Linked DNA regions of Saccharomyces cerevisiae S288C. The gene in region 2 interacts genetically with the main gene of each other region. Each region holds a gene or a part of one and is shown on either strand. Other genes may lie near its edges.

Region 1 (3,920 bases), on a different chromosome or scaffold from region 2:
TCCTCTAACGAAGCACTGGTCTCCCAAGGTTTAGGTCGTGGTACTGCTGTGGATGACATCGCAGGTATTGTTATAGTATAGAATCCCCTTGATATTTATAGATAGTATATGCACTTTCGAAATTGTTGTTCATTTCCACATGCGTTTGCTCACCAACTATCTGATATAATTAATATTAGTCCGGCGGGCTTCGGAAATAAAAAAAATTTGGCCCGCTGAAAAAGGTGTCATTAATCAGATAAAAGAAGACTTTATTATATCATTTTTTTTGGTAATTAATGTATTTAAGTATAGGTTGAATAAACTTGAATGCAATATATAAATTATGTGTTTGTGATACCAGTCACACCGTGATTGGATTTTCTATTCAGCTTTTAAAAGCGGGGTATTTGCTTAGACGACACTATGAATAAATAGCTGCAGCATTCGACGTTGTAAGAAAAAAGATTAAATCACACGACAAGCCCTTTGAAGTTCAGTAATATTCAAATAAAAATTGTCCAATGAGAAGGATGGATAACGGAGAAATCACGCACATTGCAGATGCGTAACTCGATAGCCTACAATACAAAGCGCCTATCAGCATTGATGTATTGTGAATGTTTGTGTAAAATAAGTTAATTTAATTTGAAGTTGACGCTTCATTTTTCCTTCTTCTCCACTTGGACAGGAAGGTTAAGTTGGAAACCTCTTTTACTTTCCCCACTCTGCACAGATGCTGTTGTGGAAATAGCAGAAGTTGGCTCCTCTTCAAAAGCAACATTTAAATCTTCGCTAGTATTAGCATCCGTATCATCGTTTGTTAGATGATCTTCCTCGGACGAAGTTCCCGAAGAAGAATCTGGCTGTTCTTCAATTTTCTTTAGGTCTAAAACAGAAACGCGTGCCAGTCTAGTCTTAGGGCATGGGATTCTTGCTGAATTTCCTTCAGTTTTTGAAGTGGAGGTGGCCACTACTGCGGAGGATTCAGTCAATTTCTTAAGAACTTTTTTACAATTGAAGAATTTTTTCTCCAGTTGCTTGACTTTTCTCTCAATATCTCTTTGGGATCTTTGAGCCTGTATACTAGGATCCTTCATAACCTCAAGCATAAATCTTTCTTCAATGTATCTGTTCGTCGTCATGGAATGCACTAATTTTTCATTCTGCAACTTTAATTCTGTAATTTCAAGTTCTAGCTGCTTGATCTTTATGTCTAAATTCGATTTTTCACGACTATTTGCCTCCTCTGCATTGGCCATAGAGGCCATTTGCATTGAAATATGTTGTTGTCCGTCACACCATTCGGGCTCATAGTCCGTCGACGTAGACGAGATAAAGCTATATCTGTTGTTGTTGTTATTGCCTTTGAGACCATATTGAACGAACCCGTTATTATCCGTAGGTAAATTGTCTAGATTCAGATCCTTAGGCAATTCGTTCACTTCGGTGCTTAGACACTGAGTGGAGCCGCCGGAGACGACTCTAAGTCCTTTGTCCTCGACCTTTCGCACCCCATGATTTTCTGGATCTTCCAAAGGAGTAGCAGGAACAGGAACGTATGAGGGGAGCAACCCTTCGGCGTTTTTCCGTAATATCGGTTCTTCCGCACAGACTTTGGCCTCAAATGAAGGGGGATTGCGTTCTTTCTTTTGTACTTGCGCAACGGATTCTGAACTGCGCAGCTGCTCTAGTTTGTCCTTGATGCTTTGTTTAATGATGTTTTTCTCTATGTTCAATGGATCAGGGTTTGAATTCTGGCCTTCACTAGTAGTTTTCTTGCTATTCTTCAATAGGGCAGATAGCAATGGCAGATTACTGGTTGTTTGAGATAGGTACTCGGGTTTTAACATCTTTGGAGTGTTGTTCAAAAACTGAAACCTAATAGGCGATACAGACCTCATAGTGTCAGAGCCCCTTCTTTGTTTAGAACGTCCACCTCTTGATAACTCGCTCAATTTAGAGAGTGATGTTGGATATAACAAGGAATTACCAATCGGGCCAGTGTCTAATTTTAGCTTCGTAGGTGAGTTCAATAGATTTTGAAAAGAGCCTGCATTTCTTTGGTCATCCAAACAAAAGGACATTGGTGAGAGTTTTGGAGTAAGTTGTTCCGATTTCATTGTTGGAGAATTCATTTTTTTAGTTGTTTAGTTTATTAGTTGTGTTTTTTTTTTTTGATTTTGCAATGAGTACTGGCTTGTAACAAGTTAAAAGAAAAGAAGATTAGTTAAGAACAACGGAATTGAAACGAAAGTAAAATAGTTGGAACCGAGGATAACTATGTTGATTTAAAAGACTTCACACGCGATTCTTTTTCCTTACTGCTATTTAGGAAGATGTGCCCCTCCAAACCTTTCCTTTATTCCCAAGGCAATCAAAATAACAGAAAATACAGCAGTAATAAAGCTTAATTCTCTAGGCTCACTTAAACTGAGCAACAATTTGTTGATCGTACGTGTTATTTAATACTATCAGGAAAAAATAATCTAAATGTGAGAAAAACTTCTATCTGTAACCACTTTGTCTTGAATGAACGTAGAAAATTTAAAAACGATCAAGCTTGCGTGAGAGAACTTGTAAAGTAAGGAAATCTGATTTCTAAACCCATAATGATTCTTCATCGAGCTTTCTTGCCAATTGGCTAATTAGAACTCTTTTTAGTTTATTTCCCGAAAGGGGTATTTATATTTTGCCCGTTTGGGACAAAATTAACCCTGCTTACACCAGGGTTTATCTAGAAATAAAATAGGTCATTGTTTTGAGATGACTTGGAAAAACTTAACCCTGATGTGACTGTAACATAACATCTAAGAAAAAAGGGACTAAAAGTCAACAGAAGGAGTAGATCGGAAAGTCATTGCATTTATCACTGATAAAGTCATGGCTGTCAAAAAGTAAACATCAGAAGTTCAGTTGCACTTTATGCTTTGGTGAAAATCCGTATAACTTAAAAGAATGCCCATCACTCAAATCATATCAGCGTCTGATAGCGAGGCGGGGCCAAAACCAAGCATTTCGTTGGTACCTGATAAGCCATCTGAGCCAGAAACTTCCCCTAGGCATCATCGCCTTTCAAGGTCACTTTCGAAGTTCAAGCGCTGGAGAGGAAGATCAAATAGCAGTTTATCGATGGGGTCGTCTGAGCAGCAAGAACTGCAGGACAGTCCAAATGAAGCCCGTAGTGATGATGACGAAAACGGTTACAATAACGATAATGCAGATGACTTGGCGAAATCCAAGTATATGATGAAAAGTATTGCCGGTTTATTAACTACTGCTAGTGTGTATGCAGGGATGAATAATGCTCAAGAAATGAATGTGTTGTCGCAAGTTGATTCTGAAGAATCTGATTCCAGTGATAGTTTCCAGGAAAACATTGGTCGAAATGAGGTAAAAAGCAAAAAGGAAAATCTCAAAACTAAATCGCATCCGGAAGTACCAAGATTAGACAAAAGAAAGCCAACTTTATTCGACTTCTCAATAACTAGGGAAAAACTGTCAAAAGACAATGTGGCTAAGTTGAGACAGCGGTTTTGTTTAGACGAACAGGAACCATTTTTGAATGATTTCCCTGCATGGCTACTTAAAGATGTGTTGGTTCAAGGCCATATTTTTATTACAACAAAACATTTCCTATTCTTTGCATATTTACCTAAGAATCCTCGGTCGGTTAAAATGTCTGGAAACCTTAATATCAGGACAAAACTAATTAGGTCTACCAGGTATTGGTGCGTACTAAAGAATCATTTATTTTCTATGTATACCTCATCAACTGAGCTATACTTTCCGGTTTTAACCATAGATTTGAGGGAGGTCCAAAAAATTGAAACACAAAAACATACCTTAAACGGGAGTGCTACGAAAACATTTAAGCTTTACACAGATGAAAGTACATTCAAATTCAATGCAGATTCAGAGTTCTCCGCTAAATCGTGGGT
Region 2 (6,125 bases):
TTTTTTCAGTCTCCGATTTTTTAACATCATCATCATCATCGTCATCATTGTCATCTCCAAATAAATCATCTAGTTCTGCGTCTTCTTCTTGTTCCTCTTCTTTAGTATCATCATTTCCATTGACTTCCTTGACATTATCATCTTGAGAGCGGCTTGTTTCCTCATTGCTTGTACTATTGGTGGTAACGCCGACGTTATTGCTGATTTGCTCCTTCTGTGGTTGATCCTGTGGGCTTTCAGATGACATCTTAATTATAGTCCAGTATATCTAATTGGATTACTTTGATTGGACGCACCTAGTTTACGCAACCTATCTACTTAACGACTTTCTTCAGCTTTCGTATTCACTTCTATGAGCTTGTTCTTTTTTTTTTTGTTTTTTCGTTTTTCTTTACGTAGCAGATAGTCACCCGTAACGATTGAATATGGCAAAGCTTTTTACATAATAATGGTACTTATGGCAATAGTGACATTTTACATAAACTCTTCATTGACTAAGACTACTTTAGAATTCTTTTCAATGGCTCAATATCACCTTCTTGTCCTTGTTTGACATATACTAGGAAATATGGAGTTGCAGTGTTACCCTCATTGAAATTGAAGACCTCCTCTTCCTGGACCTCACTGATGGTTTCATCATTGTACTTCCTCCAAATTCCATTGCGATTTCTGTCCTTGATATATATCCAATAGTGACCATAACTGGCCTCGCCGCGATGAATAAAAACCGAAAACAGTGAGTAACCATATTCCTTGAAATCGTCAAATTGATGGCTTATTTTCTCTTCCAAACTGTTGATATCATTGTATAATTTCATCAATTCATTATCGATATTTTGAACGTTGTTTCTCAGCGTCTTTATCACATCATTAGCAGCCTCAATTTTTAAAGGAGTTTTCTTTATGGTATCCGATTCCAATAGCTTGATACTCTCCAAAAATGCATCCTTCCTTGTAAGCCCTGAATCATCACGACTCAAAAGCTCTCTTTGTCTATTTTTCATTACCTTCAACTTTTGCTTCATTTCTTCTGTTTCTTTCTTTTTTGCCAACAATAAAGGGTTCTCTGTATCCGCGTATCTGTCCATGTAAATAACTTCTTTGAATGGTAAGGGCTCAATGGATTTAAACGGCATTAATCTTTCACGATCGTAATAAACTCTTTGGATTTGTACCTGCAAAATAGTAGGAAAAGTTGTAACAGCAACGGTACGTATAACATCACCATACTCTTCCATTGTCAGATATTCGTCTTTAAAATAAGAATCAAACGCATCATAAATATCTTTAGGATGATCGCCAATATTTATCAGTAACGATAGGAATCTTTCAACTTTCGTACGGACTTTATTTGTTGCGGACAAAGGAACAATACTTTGTTTAGTAGTACCATAAAATAGTTGCTTAACCAAGTCATATTGCTCGTTGTCTTCATCATATCGGATAGGCTCTGAACCGCTTTCTATCTGAAATAACACGTTTCCTATGCATTCAGTAACATCTTGTTGCCTACCCATTTCCAAAGCATTTTCTAATTGATCAGAACTGATTTTTGCCACACGCGTAGGTGAAGTTAATCCTGTTGTATCTTCGTTCTCACTTACTTCAGCATCATTCGATTCATTTTTTTTTCTGTTCGCATCTGTACCAACATCGCCATTAAGGCCATCTTCCATTTCTAAATCAATCAGGCTTGTATCCTTTATTTTTGTAGTAAATGCGTCATCCGTTGTTTCCTTCTTTGAATCCGAAAGAACTCCTGTTTGATCAACTACTTTATTGCCTTCCACTTCAAATTCTACTTCAACATTACTTGGAGCAAATGCCAAATATGCTAGCTCTTTTGAGGGTGTTACACATCTTTCTCTTGTATGAACCATCGCATAGAAAAGGTTGCGAAGTTGGTATATGAATTGAATAGATCTTTCCACTTCGCCTCTACTAATTTCTCTTCCACCAATTCTTCTAATATGCCCACTATTAGAGAGGTGGTCATTGAAATTTTCTACCGTTTTTTGATATTCCAATACATATCTTCTTAGTGGCGCAATGGAAAAGTAATATTGTAATAAAGAATTTAGGTAACAGGTGTTCCCGATATTATTAATGCCAGTTGGCCAATTTTCTGGCGGCAAGGAATTTGGATCTATCGTACCAGTTAGTAAGAAGTTGGTGATTAAAGTTGAATTTCTTTCTATACTGATTTTGGTCAATGCTGCCCTCAAAATAAGAAATTGGTCAGGCTCATAAACGTTTTCATCAAACCACTTTTGTTTAAAGATTTTCAAAATGGTTTCGTCAGAGGCATTTTCATTCACTTGAAGAAGCTTCAATGCCTCTTGGTAATCAAGCTTCTCTGGACCATAATAGTTGGAAAACTGTGGGCATTCCTCTGTTAAAAAATTGAACAAATCAAGGCTTCTTTTACTGATAGCAATGGTGTAAAGTGCTCTATCACAATCCAACTTTAATCCGGGAGAGTCGTTAATCTTGACCGAATATGCAGTTTTTATAATGTCTTCATCAACAGACTCGTCAATTGAAAGTGTGTCGTATGCCTGGGATAAAGCTCTGTAGGGCTCATGATCGACGTAAAATTTTAGTTTGTCAGATTTGGTATATTTGGCCAACAATCTTAGAGCATTTTTCAAATTTGTTAGGTGATTAGAGGTTACTTGGCTCTTATTTGATGTTTCATATTTGTAAATAGATAGCAAAGTCGCCTCATTTAATTCGGAGATGTTACACTCTTTAGGGTTAATTTTAAACATTAACAAAGCATTTTCTAGAGCTTCTTGGCCTATAATGTCCTGTTTTCCACAGTAAGCAATCAATTGATATGCCCCCTTCCTATTTGCAATGTATGTCAGTGCGTCAAAATACAGCCCAATATTTTCAGGATCCAAAGAAGACAAAGATTCGTAGTTTCTGATTATATCTCTATCGGTATAATAATGCGAAACGGAAAGATTAATAAAATGAGGTTCTGCGTCCAAAGGCGAATGAGTTTGCTCATTGGAATTTAATAGAATCCTTGCTCTGGATTCTCCCAATAAATGGAACCAAGGTAGTGTTGAGAAAGAAGTTTGTAATGAAGACATTCCCTTTACGCTTTTCGTATTTTTCAAGGGAGAATTAGGTGCCAGTAATGAGGTAGATAGTTGACCCCAAAATATCAGTTGTAAACACTTCCTCACAAACGATTCTCGAATTTTTCTTGTCTCCAAATCGTTTACATAGTCCACCATATCTGGAGGGACGTATTCAGTAAATATCTCATTAGTTTCCTCATCGATTTCTGAGCTTGCTTGAAATCCATACTTGGACGTTAACCATTCAGGATTCAGGTGAGTGTTAAGGGCCAAATTTCCAGAATCAATTGTCTTTGTAGGTTCCGCTTTACTTTTCCTCGTCAAAGGCCCTTTAAAAATTTTAAAAAGTGTGTAAAAACAGTCAACTTGAGATGGCGTCTCGCTTTTATCTAGTGATTCATTTTTTACACACATAGCATTGTATCTCTTCTTAATTGCGTCGGCAGTAAAACTCTCATGCTCTTCAGGTGAATTAAACTCGGGTTTAAAAATTTCAATCAAGATCAGTTTGTTAGTATCATCAGAAACGTAAATACCGTAATCCAACAAATTAGGATCGGAAGAATCAAAAGTCGAAAGGTCTACTCGATCGTATTCGTGCAAATGATCTAGTGAGTGGAATTGAGTAACACCGACATGCTTCTTCAACCGCTCCAGTTCTTGGCGGACTTTTACGCTAACCTTAAGATGATAAATAGGAATTTTAACAATATCATCAAAAGTTGAAATTTGCTGTTCTGCCAGTGATGGATTAAAGATGACCGCCTGAAATACATGTATTTTATTATATTTTGGGCATGAAATGGAATCATACTCGGATTTTGTTTGAAAAACCACTTGATCAGTTAATGAACCCAAGCAGTTAGGGCGAATACTACTTCTGAAAGTTGAGTAAGAAAGCATAGACTCTTTTAAAATACCCCTCGATTGCAGGCCCTTTTGCATGACCTTCGGGTCTGTAGAATTGAGAAAAATAGTATCGCAAAGTATATCGTCCAAAAGTCTGTCAGAAGTCTTCAGTGGTAGGTTGGTGGCAATATCTGGATACAGTAAGTGTTTTCCATCGTCAACATCTCCAGGGGTAGACTGCTGGTTTATACTTGTCCCGTATAATGGGAGGTCTTCTATAACAGACCCATTTCTGTCAGCATTTTCTTTATCCTGGTTTAGTAGTTGATTATGATGGTTCTCAATTGCTTTTTGAAGTTCATTATCTTCGTTCGGCATTTCCTTATACCTTCTTAACCTTGAACAAAAGCTTTCTTTTTAATTACCACTTTATTATTAGCAGTGGCCCCGTTTTTATGCAATGTTCTTCCAATGGCAAGCCGCTTGTTTTTTTCAAGCTATATGTACTATAGTTTTGCTCTAATTAACTGTTACTCTTGTTAAAGATCCAGTTTGTACTCACCCTTAGACTATGAACCCATACCCCATTTACATAATTATAGACAGTGTATCTATTCCTGTCATATTGGTCATATAGCGTTAAAATGCGTAAGGATGATACATAATTTTATACATGATAGTTTAATTAGGACATTTATCAAACCGTTTTCCTTTCAATTCTCCTTTTCTGGCATAACGCGACTGATGTATGCCACTTTCTGGTGGTTAAATTCTTTCGGCACTCCATATAGCTACTCTGCAAATCGTTTTAATACCTTCAGTGATAACTGTATATGGAACTGCCATATACGAATCATGCTTGATAGCGGTGTCTAGATGCTCTAGCTCGTCATCCCTGAACTGTTGGATAGTAGAAGTTAAGGATTTGATTTCCTCACTTGGACCCTTTGTTCCATCTGTTCTTTCTAAATTGAATTGATTGGCCAAGTTTCGCAATTGGCCATTGTAGTGCCCTCCGATTACTGTCTCGACAGCTTCAGTACAAGCCATAGCTGCTTCTGGAGAAATCAATGCGGTACCAGCCCCCATTGCAAAGGCTCCTGCCTTCCACAAAGGCGTTAATAAGGAAGGCCTGACTCTCCTTTTCAATTGCAAATTGTTAAAAGTATTATGATGATGTATCTCCTGGTCCCATATGTGCTTTAGCACAGGTTTCAAGTGAGGGTACCTATGAGCCAACACGAAGTACTGGCCAGCGTAGATGTAGTCTGCACCTAATTCGCCAGCTTGATCTACACGAATAACACGGTCCAAAAATGCAGCCTGAGCATCTGATAAATTCTGACACTTGGGAGCATGCTCAGGTTTTTCGGTGTGTTTTGCTGATGTATGTTCTGTTATCTTTAAAGATGATAAGACGGAAAAGCCTCTGCTGGCAGGTTTGAAAACTGAAACACGGGATAACATAATTTCTATGTATCTCTCCCGTATACGTGATATCTTTATTCCTTGAATTGGTTTGGAGGAGAAGATAACGACGTTTTCACAAGAATAAAACTCTCGTCTGTAAAAATAAGGAAACATGTTTTATAGATTTCTATTGTTTTTTTTCCTGAAAATCCCGTATATGAAAAATTATACAGTTGCTTAAAAGTTAGGGAAATATAGACAGAGTACGTACAAAGGATTACTGCATTCAAGACATTATGTTAGATCCATCATCTAGCACATCTCTCCAATCTTTCAGTTTGTACTGCATGTTTTTGGGATGATATTGGGGGTAGAATGTCTCAATGACCTTCAATAATTCGTCATGAAAAATTTTGTACCCTTTTCCGGAAAAGTGCAGTCCATCTGTTAGCAGTTGTTGCCAAGCATCACCACCTTCCTGTTGAAACGCCTTATTCAAAGCCACGAAGGGAACTTTTTCCTCATTGGCTAGTTTTGCTAAGGCATCGGAATAAATGGCAAAGTTCTCGTTGGTACGGAAGTATCCGAGAGCTATTTCTTCAGATTTTTCTTTTTCCCACTTCTCTCTATCTACTAGCCCCGGTCCTATTATAATAGGACGGATATGGTAAGACTTCATCAAAGATACCATTTGACGAATATTATCGATAAATTCGGGGAGGGGGACACTTTGGGGACCTGCTGAGCATGCATCGTTGGCACCCAAAAATATTG
Region 3 (3,813 bases), on a different chromosome or scaffold from region 2:
TGCCTTGTAAGCTGTGGTTTGCCTTGTATCATCATGAACGCTTTTCTTCGTGGAGTAGTCTTCCTATATTGTTTCCGGTGGTTACCATCAAGATAATTTACACACACAAAATTTTCCGCTGTACGTTTGCGAGTGGCATAACGAATAATATGTATCCTATCATTTCAATGAATCACAGCTGAGCACATTTGAATTTTATTGTTAAATGGAATGCCGTTAAATGTATTATGTAATATCCATAAAAGTTCACACTGATTGTTCACTTTTATGAACCTCTAGGATTAAAAGTACGTCTTTGTTAATGAAGCCAGCAAAAAATGGAGAACATCAGGAACAAAGCGGCATAGCTTTGATCTTGCCTTGATGCTTCTAAAAAAATATATACGTTTGTAAGTATATACTCCAATTTTCAATAGTATTTTAATGAATAATTTTTATAAATAGAGGTAAGAGATTAGACACGTTATCTGGAGGTAATAACTAAGTAAATAAATAACAGCTACGTTGCTCTTTTTGGAAAAAGCATAAAACTCAGCCATCTAAGACAACATACTTAAAAAAGTAATAGTCTTTGATACATTCCTCGTGTAGGACAAAAGCAAAAATTCTCTTCCGTTTATTTTTCATGAAAAAAGCTTGTATCATATACACATATCTATATATTTGCATATTATTCTTTTTCGTTTTTTAGAATTAGCCATATGTTCTCGATAATGAGTAAACCTCTTTCAATTAGCAACGTCCTCCTTTGAAGACTCCTTTGAAGCCAAATGGGCTTCCAAAGATGCGATTTTTTCTCTTAATTCTAGATTTTCTTTTTTGGCCAACTGCAGTTCAATTTGGGTCTCTTTTGATCTGCCATATGCTAACATCTTGGCCATTTCTTTGTTCTCGTTTGTTAAGTTTTCTAATCTTACCACCATTTTGTGAGCAATCGATTCTGCATCATACCTGCCATACTTAGTCACTGAATTTGTTGGATTTAGCGCCAGTGCAGTTAATATACTTTCCAGATTTTCTTTCGTCTCTGCTAACTCCTTTTCCTTTGCATGCAGTGACGATGACAGTTTTCTGAATATCACTTCCAAGGAAGCTGGCAATTCGAAAGTTTGGGGTATATGGCAGTTTTCCTTCTCATACTTATGCTCATTCTGCTTGTAGTTTAGCCCCTCGTTGAAAATTTTCTTTAGCCTTTGAATTTCGTTCTCGAGTGATTCGATTTGACTTTCCTTTATTTGTAGTTCTACTTCCAATGCTTCCATTCTGTCATCTTTATTTGAATTCATCTCATTGCTGTTGACATTATTCATTGAGAGCGCTGTCACATGATTAAAAGGAACAAATGAATTCTTGAATGCCGTACTATTGATTGAGGTTTTAGCGGTCATATTAGACATTGATGACATCGAGTCATTAGGATTCCCATTAGTATCCTTGTTATTTGTCATATTATTCATTGGATCCAGCCAATAATCATTAGCAGTTGCCCCATTCATGATATTGTTATGATTGAGAGTATTTCTCATAGATGCTTGTGGTACATTCTGGTAATTATAGGTATTCATTGATGGGGGCATGTTGAAATTTGTTGTACTGTTCAAGCTATGTTGACCCGTTAAGGGACTAGCCGACGAACCTTGAGGAAGCATGGAATTATTCATTTTACTCGCCTGACCTAAGGTGTTCATTAATCCCGGCCTGGCATCGTTTCTTTCACCAGATTCGTATAGGGCTTGTTGCTGTGACTGTTGGTGGGGATGAAATGCCAAATTGTTAAAGGACGTTTCCAACGAATGTTGGGGATCATAATCATAAGCCATGTAATTCATTTTTACAACAGTATTCCAAACGAGCCGTGTATGCAAAAAGAATGAGGTCAAATCAAAAGATCAAGTACCAAGCCAGCTGATTCTCTTCTTACTAAGTTTGACTATCGTTTACATTTCTTGCTTGTTGTTTCATCAAACAATGTACTCTTTTCTTGTTTTAAATGATTTTTTAGCGGCGAAGGTAACAGCAGCAAAAAAAAAAAAGAAAAAACATTGCAAAATAGCTAATGGAAATGGATTTATTACTGAAATATGTAGAAATATTTAACTCGATAGATTTGATCATACACATATAATGCAAAATATATATATATATATATATATATATATATATATATATATGTGTGTGTGTGTGTGTGTGTGTGTGTAAACGTTCTTTTAGCATCTTGTATAGAAATAAATATAACCATTTTTTTTCATATCTTCAATGCTGTCGGCAGCAACTAGTTTCTCATCGTTATAAAGAACCCACTTCCATTTGTCTGCCACTAGTTTACGAATAAAAACAACATAGTGACCAGAATGGACAGAATTTCCCTTATGACAAATAACTGCAGTTAAAGCGTACGGTTTAGCGGTCGAATATCCAAGATCCTTTTTTTGTTGCTGTTCTTCATTTGGCACTTCAGGTTCGGGAAATGTTCCATCATCATCCATGTTGTTAAATACCCATTCAACACTACGATTAACATCTCCGTTGTTGAGTATCAAGGCTTTACGACATAAGTTGGGATTTAGTCCCATGGATAACATTGAAGTCAATGATACCTCATCCACTTCTCTCTTATCTTTCTTGGGGACATTAGGAGGCGGGACAAAGGGATCATTTAAATCAGGGTCATCCATATGCTGGAATAGCCAATTCATAGCGCTCTCAGCGTCTTGGTTTCCGGTGTTAAATAGGGCGCGCACGCTAGCATTTTGAGTAAAGCCCATTTCAATTAATTGAGAAATACTGCATTGGTTTGGCGTAAAAGAGCTACGGTTTTCGTCCTCATCAGGCAATAAGTTTTCAGTTTGAGGATCAAATCCTTGTGATAAATAAGACGAAACATCTAGCATATCATCCCTGTCTATTAAACCTGGTAAAGAAAGCTCATTACTTGTCTTAACAGGAATCCAGTTCTGTAATCTAATCCTTATTGGGTTCAAAATAAGTGTTTGAGGAAGAGATTTGAAACCAGGTTTTTTATTTGCGGTAACCTTTTCCTTACAATTAGCACATTTAAATTCAATCGTCTGCCCTTCAAAATACGCCTTGATTCTCTCTAACATATCTTGAGGTTCATCATTCTCCTCTAAGGGAATCTGTATAGCCTCTGTGGGTTCATAAGAATATTTAACCTTCCCGCAAATGTTACATTGGAGCCTATCCTCCATCATAAATCTAACTAAATCGTTGGGATTTGGAATACCTGAAGAACTACTTGAAAAAAATTTCTTGTCTAACAAGTCTAAAAGGAAGGTTAGAAATTCCATCGCATCCTGTTGTCTATTGGAACTGAATTCCTGATGATTTTGCCCAATGCATTTCTTGAAAGTAGTAGGTTTGATACCATTTGGATATAGTTCGGGTTCACATTTCATGGCATTGAGTAGCTTGATCCATTGGCACTTTAAATTATTGTCCGGATATACAACATCCAGTGGAAATTTACTTCCTAGAAAATCCAAGGACCAATTCGGGACGCCACCATTCACCAAGCTTTGTATAACCGAATTTAAGTAACAGGAATTACCCAAATTGATCAGACCACAGCCATAATTCTTACTAGCGGATAATTTTTCAAATTCTTTACCGCTAGAATCGACCATTCTAAATTGCCAATTTTCGTTCTGTTCCACTTGTAATTGAACTAGAGTCTTTTCATCCGCAATCTTTTCTTGTATGTTAATTCCGTATATTTGTAGTGCACTGCCTAAATTAACATTATCTGGAAATCTAGTTTCGTCGTCACATGCGTAACAATACAGATCATAGGTT
Region 4 (4,991 bases), on a different chromosome or scaffold from region 2:
TACGCCACGAACTCCCAGTCAGGATATCTCCCAAGTCAAAATTCCCCAGCAATTCCAATGGTGAGACCTGTTATTTCCATGAATCAGCAGCAAGCGCAACAGATACAAGCCCAGCAATTGCAGGCACAACAGATGCAGGCAAAGCAACAGATGCAAGCCAAGCAGCAGATGCAAGTTCAGCAACAACTGCAAGTCCAACAGCAAATGCAAATTCAAAATGCAAATAATAATGGTACTTACGTCTCTGATAGAACAAATCATACCACAGAAGATATGAGAAATGCTCAGGGGGGTGAACCTCCAATTCTTGCAGGAAATTCTGCAAATGAACCAATGCACTCATCCTCTAAAAATGAAGCTCTCTTAATTGAACTATCTCCATTAAAAGAAGATGCAGGAAAGCAATCTTTCCAAGATACAAATGAGCCTCAAACTGGCGGTATCGAAGATGCCGGCGGTTCAGGAACTATCAAAGGCTCGAACAATAATCGAAATGGCGTTTTAAATTTAAGTTTGAATGAGATGGACTTATCAAGAGATGATACTGGTGCTGCTGTCTCCTCCTTTTCATCGTCTTCATCGTCTGCATCAATTCAACAAGCTAAGCTTTCTGGACGCAAAGGTTCCAGTAAGAGGAACAATTATTCAACAGACGAATTGGGAGATAGTATGGTCTCCAGCGAAAGCATTGATATTGATTTGGATGATGCAAGGAGAGGAAAAACAGCTGAAAGAAGACCACTCCATAATGAAAGAGGTCATAAAGACCAGGCAAGATCAAGTGATGCTAGTAAGTCTAATCAATTCAAAAGCAAGGACTTCAGCAGCGTATCAACAAGGCAACCGCGGCAGTCATTGGATCTGAATTTCCAGGAAGTAAATCTGTCTTCACCAACGTTAACTCAAGAGCATAGAAATAAAAACGACTCGCCAGCACCAAATTCACATCACTCGTATAGAGTTTCACCTCATGCTTCCACCGCAATAACTGAGAATAAGCGCCACAGTACTGGTCACGAACTGTCAACCCGGTCAAATGGCAAGCATGAAACACACAGGACTGGTTCCAAGCAAAGGCACGATTTGGAAAGATACCGGCATTCGAAGGATAAGGATAGCAATAGCAGCATTACTATTAGCACCTCAACTCCATCAGAGATGAGAAAATCCTTCGCTAGGGCCCGTCAATCGCTTGATTTGGAAAGGGTCCGTCGTGAAGCGATGGCAAGTAGTGCATCCAGTAGTGGTGGCAGTAACGGGAAAAGGAGATCTTTTTTCTCAGTCTTTAGAAGCGAGAAATGATTCGATAAATAGAGCACATATAAAATCATATACATACATTGTTACATATAGAGGCGCAGACAATCCGTATATCTTCCTCAAAAACTAAATTGATAGAACAATAGTAACTCAAATCATATGCATTAAGCATATCGTGCGAGATGACGTTTACTCCTGACGCGCTTAACGAGAAGCGGTTAAGTGAAGAGTAATAGTGCTCGCAATTTGACAGAAATGACACCATTTTAAAAGTACTAGAGATAAAGAGTGTAGAAACCGGAAGAACAAAGGTGGAACATATCATAAGGGGAAGAAATGACACAACATAAAAGCTCGATGGTGTACATACCCACCACTAAGGAAGCTAAAAGACGTAATGGGAAATCAGAAGGCATACTAAATACTATTGAAGAAGTGGTGGAAAAGCTTTATTGGACCTACTACATACATTTACCCTTTTATTTAATGGCCTCTTTTGATTCATTCTTCCTCCATGTTTTTTTTCTCACAATTTTCAGTTTGAGTTTCTTCGGTATACTAAAGTATTGCTTCCTTTGAATGATTATTTATATCCTTATTCGGTTAATAATAGTATAAGCTGGAGGCAAGGGGACAGAAAATTTAGGAGGATATCATGGAGGATAGAGTTACATAAATATACACACAATACATAAACTAATAATTGCTTGTGGCTATAGGATATAATTTATAACAGTTGATGTGCCTTTGAAAAATGACATCGTTTGGAATGAGATCAAATTTATCACTTGATGAAATCACAGTGAAAAGCGACTTGCAATGGCAGTAGAGATGACAGGTAAATTCATCCAAAAAGAGAGCCCGAAGTCTTTCTCACATTCAGAAATGGCAGAAGCAGTACTAGAAAACGTTAACGTTCCTGCAGTCGTTTCAAAAGATGAGTGTATTTATTGCTTTGAATCCCCTTATAATGAACCATTGGCCCTCAATGCATCACCTAAACATTCATTGAATATATGCTTAAACTGTTTCCAAGCTACGTGCAACAGACATGTTCCACTCCATATCCGAGTCACAGAATATGCTTGCGATACCATACATTCCAATTATTTAACTATTGCTAAAGTGGAGAAACCTAAGCAAGAAAATGTAGAAGAAAATAATAACAACAAAAAAATAAAGCTACAGGTAATTGAGACGTCAGAAGACGACACCCACAACACTATTTGGAGTTTACAAAGGTTCAATGGTGAAAATGTTCCCAGGACCGTACTTTCGAAGTCGACAGACTCTGACATTTCTTCTACGGCCTTGGAGAAGATTGAAAAGATATTAAAGGCGAAGTCACAAGACTTCGAGGATAAGAAGAACTCCTGGGTGTTAGAAATCAGCACCTGTCCACATACAGAAAACTTTCAAATTCCATCTAAGCCCGAAAATACTGTGAATTTAAACCAATGCTCTTCCTGTGATTTGACTCAAAATCTCTGGTTATGCCTACATTGTGGTAATATCGGATGTGGCAGGGAACAAATCGGGATTGATGGTCACTCGCATGCTTTGGATCATTATCGGAGTAATAATAATCACCCATTAGCTATCAAATTAGGGTCTTTAAGCTCTTCAACCTATGATCTGTATTGTTACGCATGTGACGACGAAACTAGATTTCCAGATAATGTTAATTTAGGCAGTGCACTACAAATATACGGAATTAACATACAAGAAAAGATTGCGGATGAAAAGACTCTAGTTCAATTACAAGTGGAACAGAACGAAAATTGGCAATTTAGAATGGTCGATTCTAGCGGTAAAGAATTTGAAAAATTATCCGCTAGTAAGAATTATGGCTGTGGTCTGATCAATTTGGGTAATTCCTGTTACTTAAATTCGGTTATACAAAGCTTGGTGAATGGTGGCGTCCCGAATTGGTCCTTGGATTTTCTAGGAAGTAAATTTCCACTGGATGTTGTATATCCGGACAATAATTTAAAGTGCCAATGGATCAAGCTACTCAATGCCATGAAATGTGAACCCGAACTATATCCAAATGGTATCAAACCTACTACTTTCAAGAAATGCATTGGGCAAAATCATCAGGAATTCAGTTCCAATAGACAACAGGATGCGATGGAATTTCTAACCTTCCTTTTAGACTTGTTAGACAAGAAATTTTTTTCAAGTAGTTCTTCAGGTATTCCAAATCCCAACGATTTAGTTAGATTTATGATGGAGGATAGGCTCCAATGTAACATTTGCGGGAAGGTTAAATATTCTTATGAACCCACAGAGGCTATACAGATTCCCTTAGAGGAGAATGATGAACCTCAAGATATGTTAGAGAGAATCAAGGCGTATTTTGAAGGGCAGACGATTGAATTTAAATGTGCTAATTGTAAGGAAAAGGTTACCGCAAATAAAAAACCTGGTTTCAAATCTCTTCCTCAAACACTTATTTTGAACCCAATAAGGATTAGATTACAGAACTGGATTCCTGTTAAGACAAGTAATGAGCTTTCTTTACCAGGTTTAATAGACAGGGATGATATGCTAGATGTTTCGTCTTATTTATCACAAGGATTTGATCCTCAAACTGAAAACTTATTGCCTGATGAGGACGAAAACCGTAGCTCTTTTACGCCAAACCAATGCAGTATTTCTCAATTAATTGAAATGGGCTTTACTCAAAATGCTAGCGTGCGCGCCCTATTTAACACCGGAAACCAAGACGCTGAGAGCGCTATGAATTGGCTATTCCAGCATATGGATGACCCTGATTTAAATGATCCCTTTGTCCCGCCTCCTAATGTCCCCAAGAAAGATAAGAGAGAAGTGGATGAGGTATCATTGACTTCAATGTTATCCATGGGACTAAATCCCAACTTATGTCGTAAAGCCTTGATACTCAACAACGGAGATGTTAATCGTAGTGTTGAATGGGTATTTAACAACATGGATGATGATGGAACATTTCCCGAACCTGAAGTGCCAAATGAAGAACAGCAACAAAAAAAGGATCTTGGATATTCGACCGCTAAACCGTACGCTTTAACTGCAGTTATTTGTCATAAGGGAAATTCTGTCCATTCTGGTCACTATGTTGTTTTTATTCGTAAACTAGTGGCAGACAAATGGAAGTGGGTTCTTTATAACGATGAGAAACTAGTTGCTGCCGACAGCATTGAAGATATGAAAAAAAATGGTTATATTTATTTCTATACAAGATGCTAAAAGAACGTTTACACACACACACACACACACACACACATATATATATATATATATATATATATATATATATATATATTTTGCATTATATGTGTATGATCAAATCTATCGAGTTAAATATTTCTACATATTTCAGTAATAAATCCATTTCCATTAGCTATTTTGCAATGTTTTTTCTTTTTTTTTTTTGCTGCTGTTACCTTCGCCGCTAAAAAATCATTTAAAACAAGAAAAGAGTACATTGTTTGATGAAACAACAAGCAAGAAATGTAAACGATAGTCAAACTTAGTAAGAAGAGAATCAGCTGGCTTGGTACTTGATCTTTTGATTTGACCTCATTCTTTTTGCATACACGGCTCGTTTGGAATACTGTTGTAAAAATGAATTACATGGCTTATGATTATGATCCCCAACATTCGTTGGAAACGTCCTTTAACAATTTGGCATTTCATCCCCACCAACAGTCACAGCAACAAGCCCTATACGAATCTGGTGAAAGAAA

The links.
Region 1: mutations in UBP2 (region 2) and MMR1 together harm fitness more than expected from each alone (negative genetic interaction), as found in Saccharomyces cerevisiae (3 studies listed by BioGRID).
Region 3: mutations in UBP2 (region 2) and MUM2 together harm fitness more than expected from each alone (negative genetic interaction), as found in Saccharomyces cerevisiae (2 studies listed by BioGRID).
Region 4: mutations in UBP2 (region 2) and UBP14 together harm fitness more than expected from each alone (negative genetic interaction), as found in Saccharomyces cerevisiae (3 studies listed by BioGRID, with this or other methods).

The regions. Positions count from the first base shown.
Region 1 is NC_001144.5:533,411-537,330, reverse strand, and holds MMR1 (Mmr1p), read right to left. Parts: upstream 2,118-3,920; coding exon 642-2,117; downstream 1-641. Other genes in the region: peroxin PEX13, read right to left, coding at 1-59; ATG26 (sterol 3-beta-glucosyltransferase), read left to right, coding at 2,938-3,920. UniProt on the Saccharomyces cerevisiae protein: Involved in the guiding of mitochondrial tubules to the bud tip during cell division.
Region 2 is NC_001147.6:554,324-560,448, forward strand, and holds UBP2 (ubiquitin-specific protease UBP2), read right to left. Parts: upstream 4,320-6,125; coding exon 501-4,319; downstream 1-500. Other genes in the region: Paf1-complex subunit LEO1, read right to left, coding at 1-247; putative monooxygenase CAT5, read right to left, coding at 4,707-5,408; IAH1 (isoamyl acetate-hydrolyzing esterase), read right to left, coding at 5,638-6,125. UniProt on the Saccharomyces cerevisiae protein: Has an ATP-independent isopeptidase activity, cleaving at the C-terminus of the ubiquitin moiety in natural or engineered linear fusion proteins, irrespective of their size or the presence of an N-terminal extension to ubiquitin.
Region 3 is NC_001134.8:351,465-355,277, forward strand, and holds MUM2 (Mum2p), read right to left. Parts: upstream 1,830-3,813; coding exon 729-1,829; downstream 1-728. Other genes in the region: ubiquitin-specific protease UBP14, read right to left, coding at 2,208-3,813.
Region 4 is NC_001134.8:353,172-358,162, reverse strand, and holds UBP14 (ubiquitin-specific protease UBP14), read left to right. Parts: upstream 1-2,145; coding exon 2,146-4,491; downstream 4,492-4,991. Other genes in the region: serine/threonine protein kinase AKL1, read left to right, coding at 1-1,302; TSC3 (Tsc3p), read left to right, coding at 1,597-1,839; MUM2 (Mum2p), read left to right, coding at 4,870-4,991. UniProt on the Saccharomyces cerevisiae protein: Required for the adaptation to the presence of glucose in the growth medium; mediates the degradation of enzymes involved in gluconeogenesis when cells are shifted to glucose-containing medium.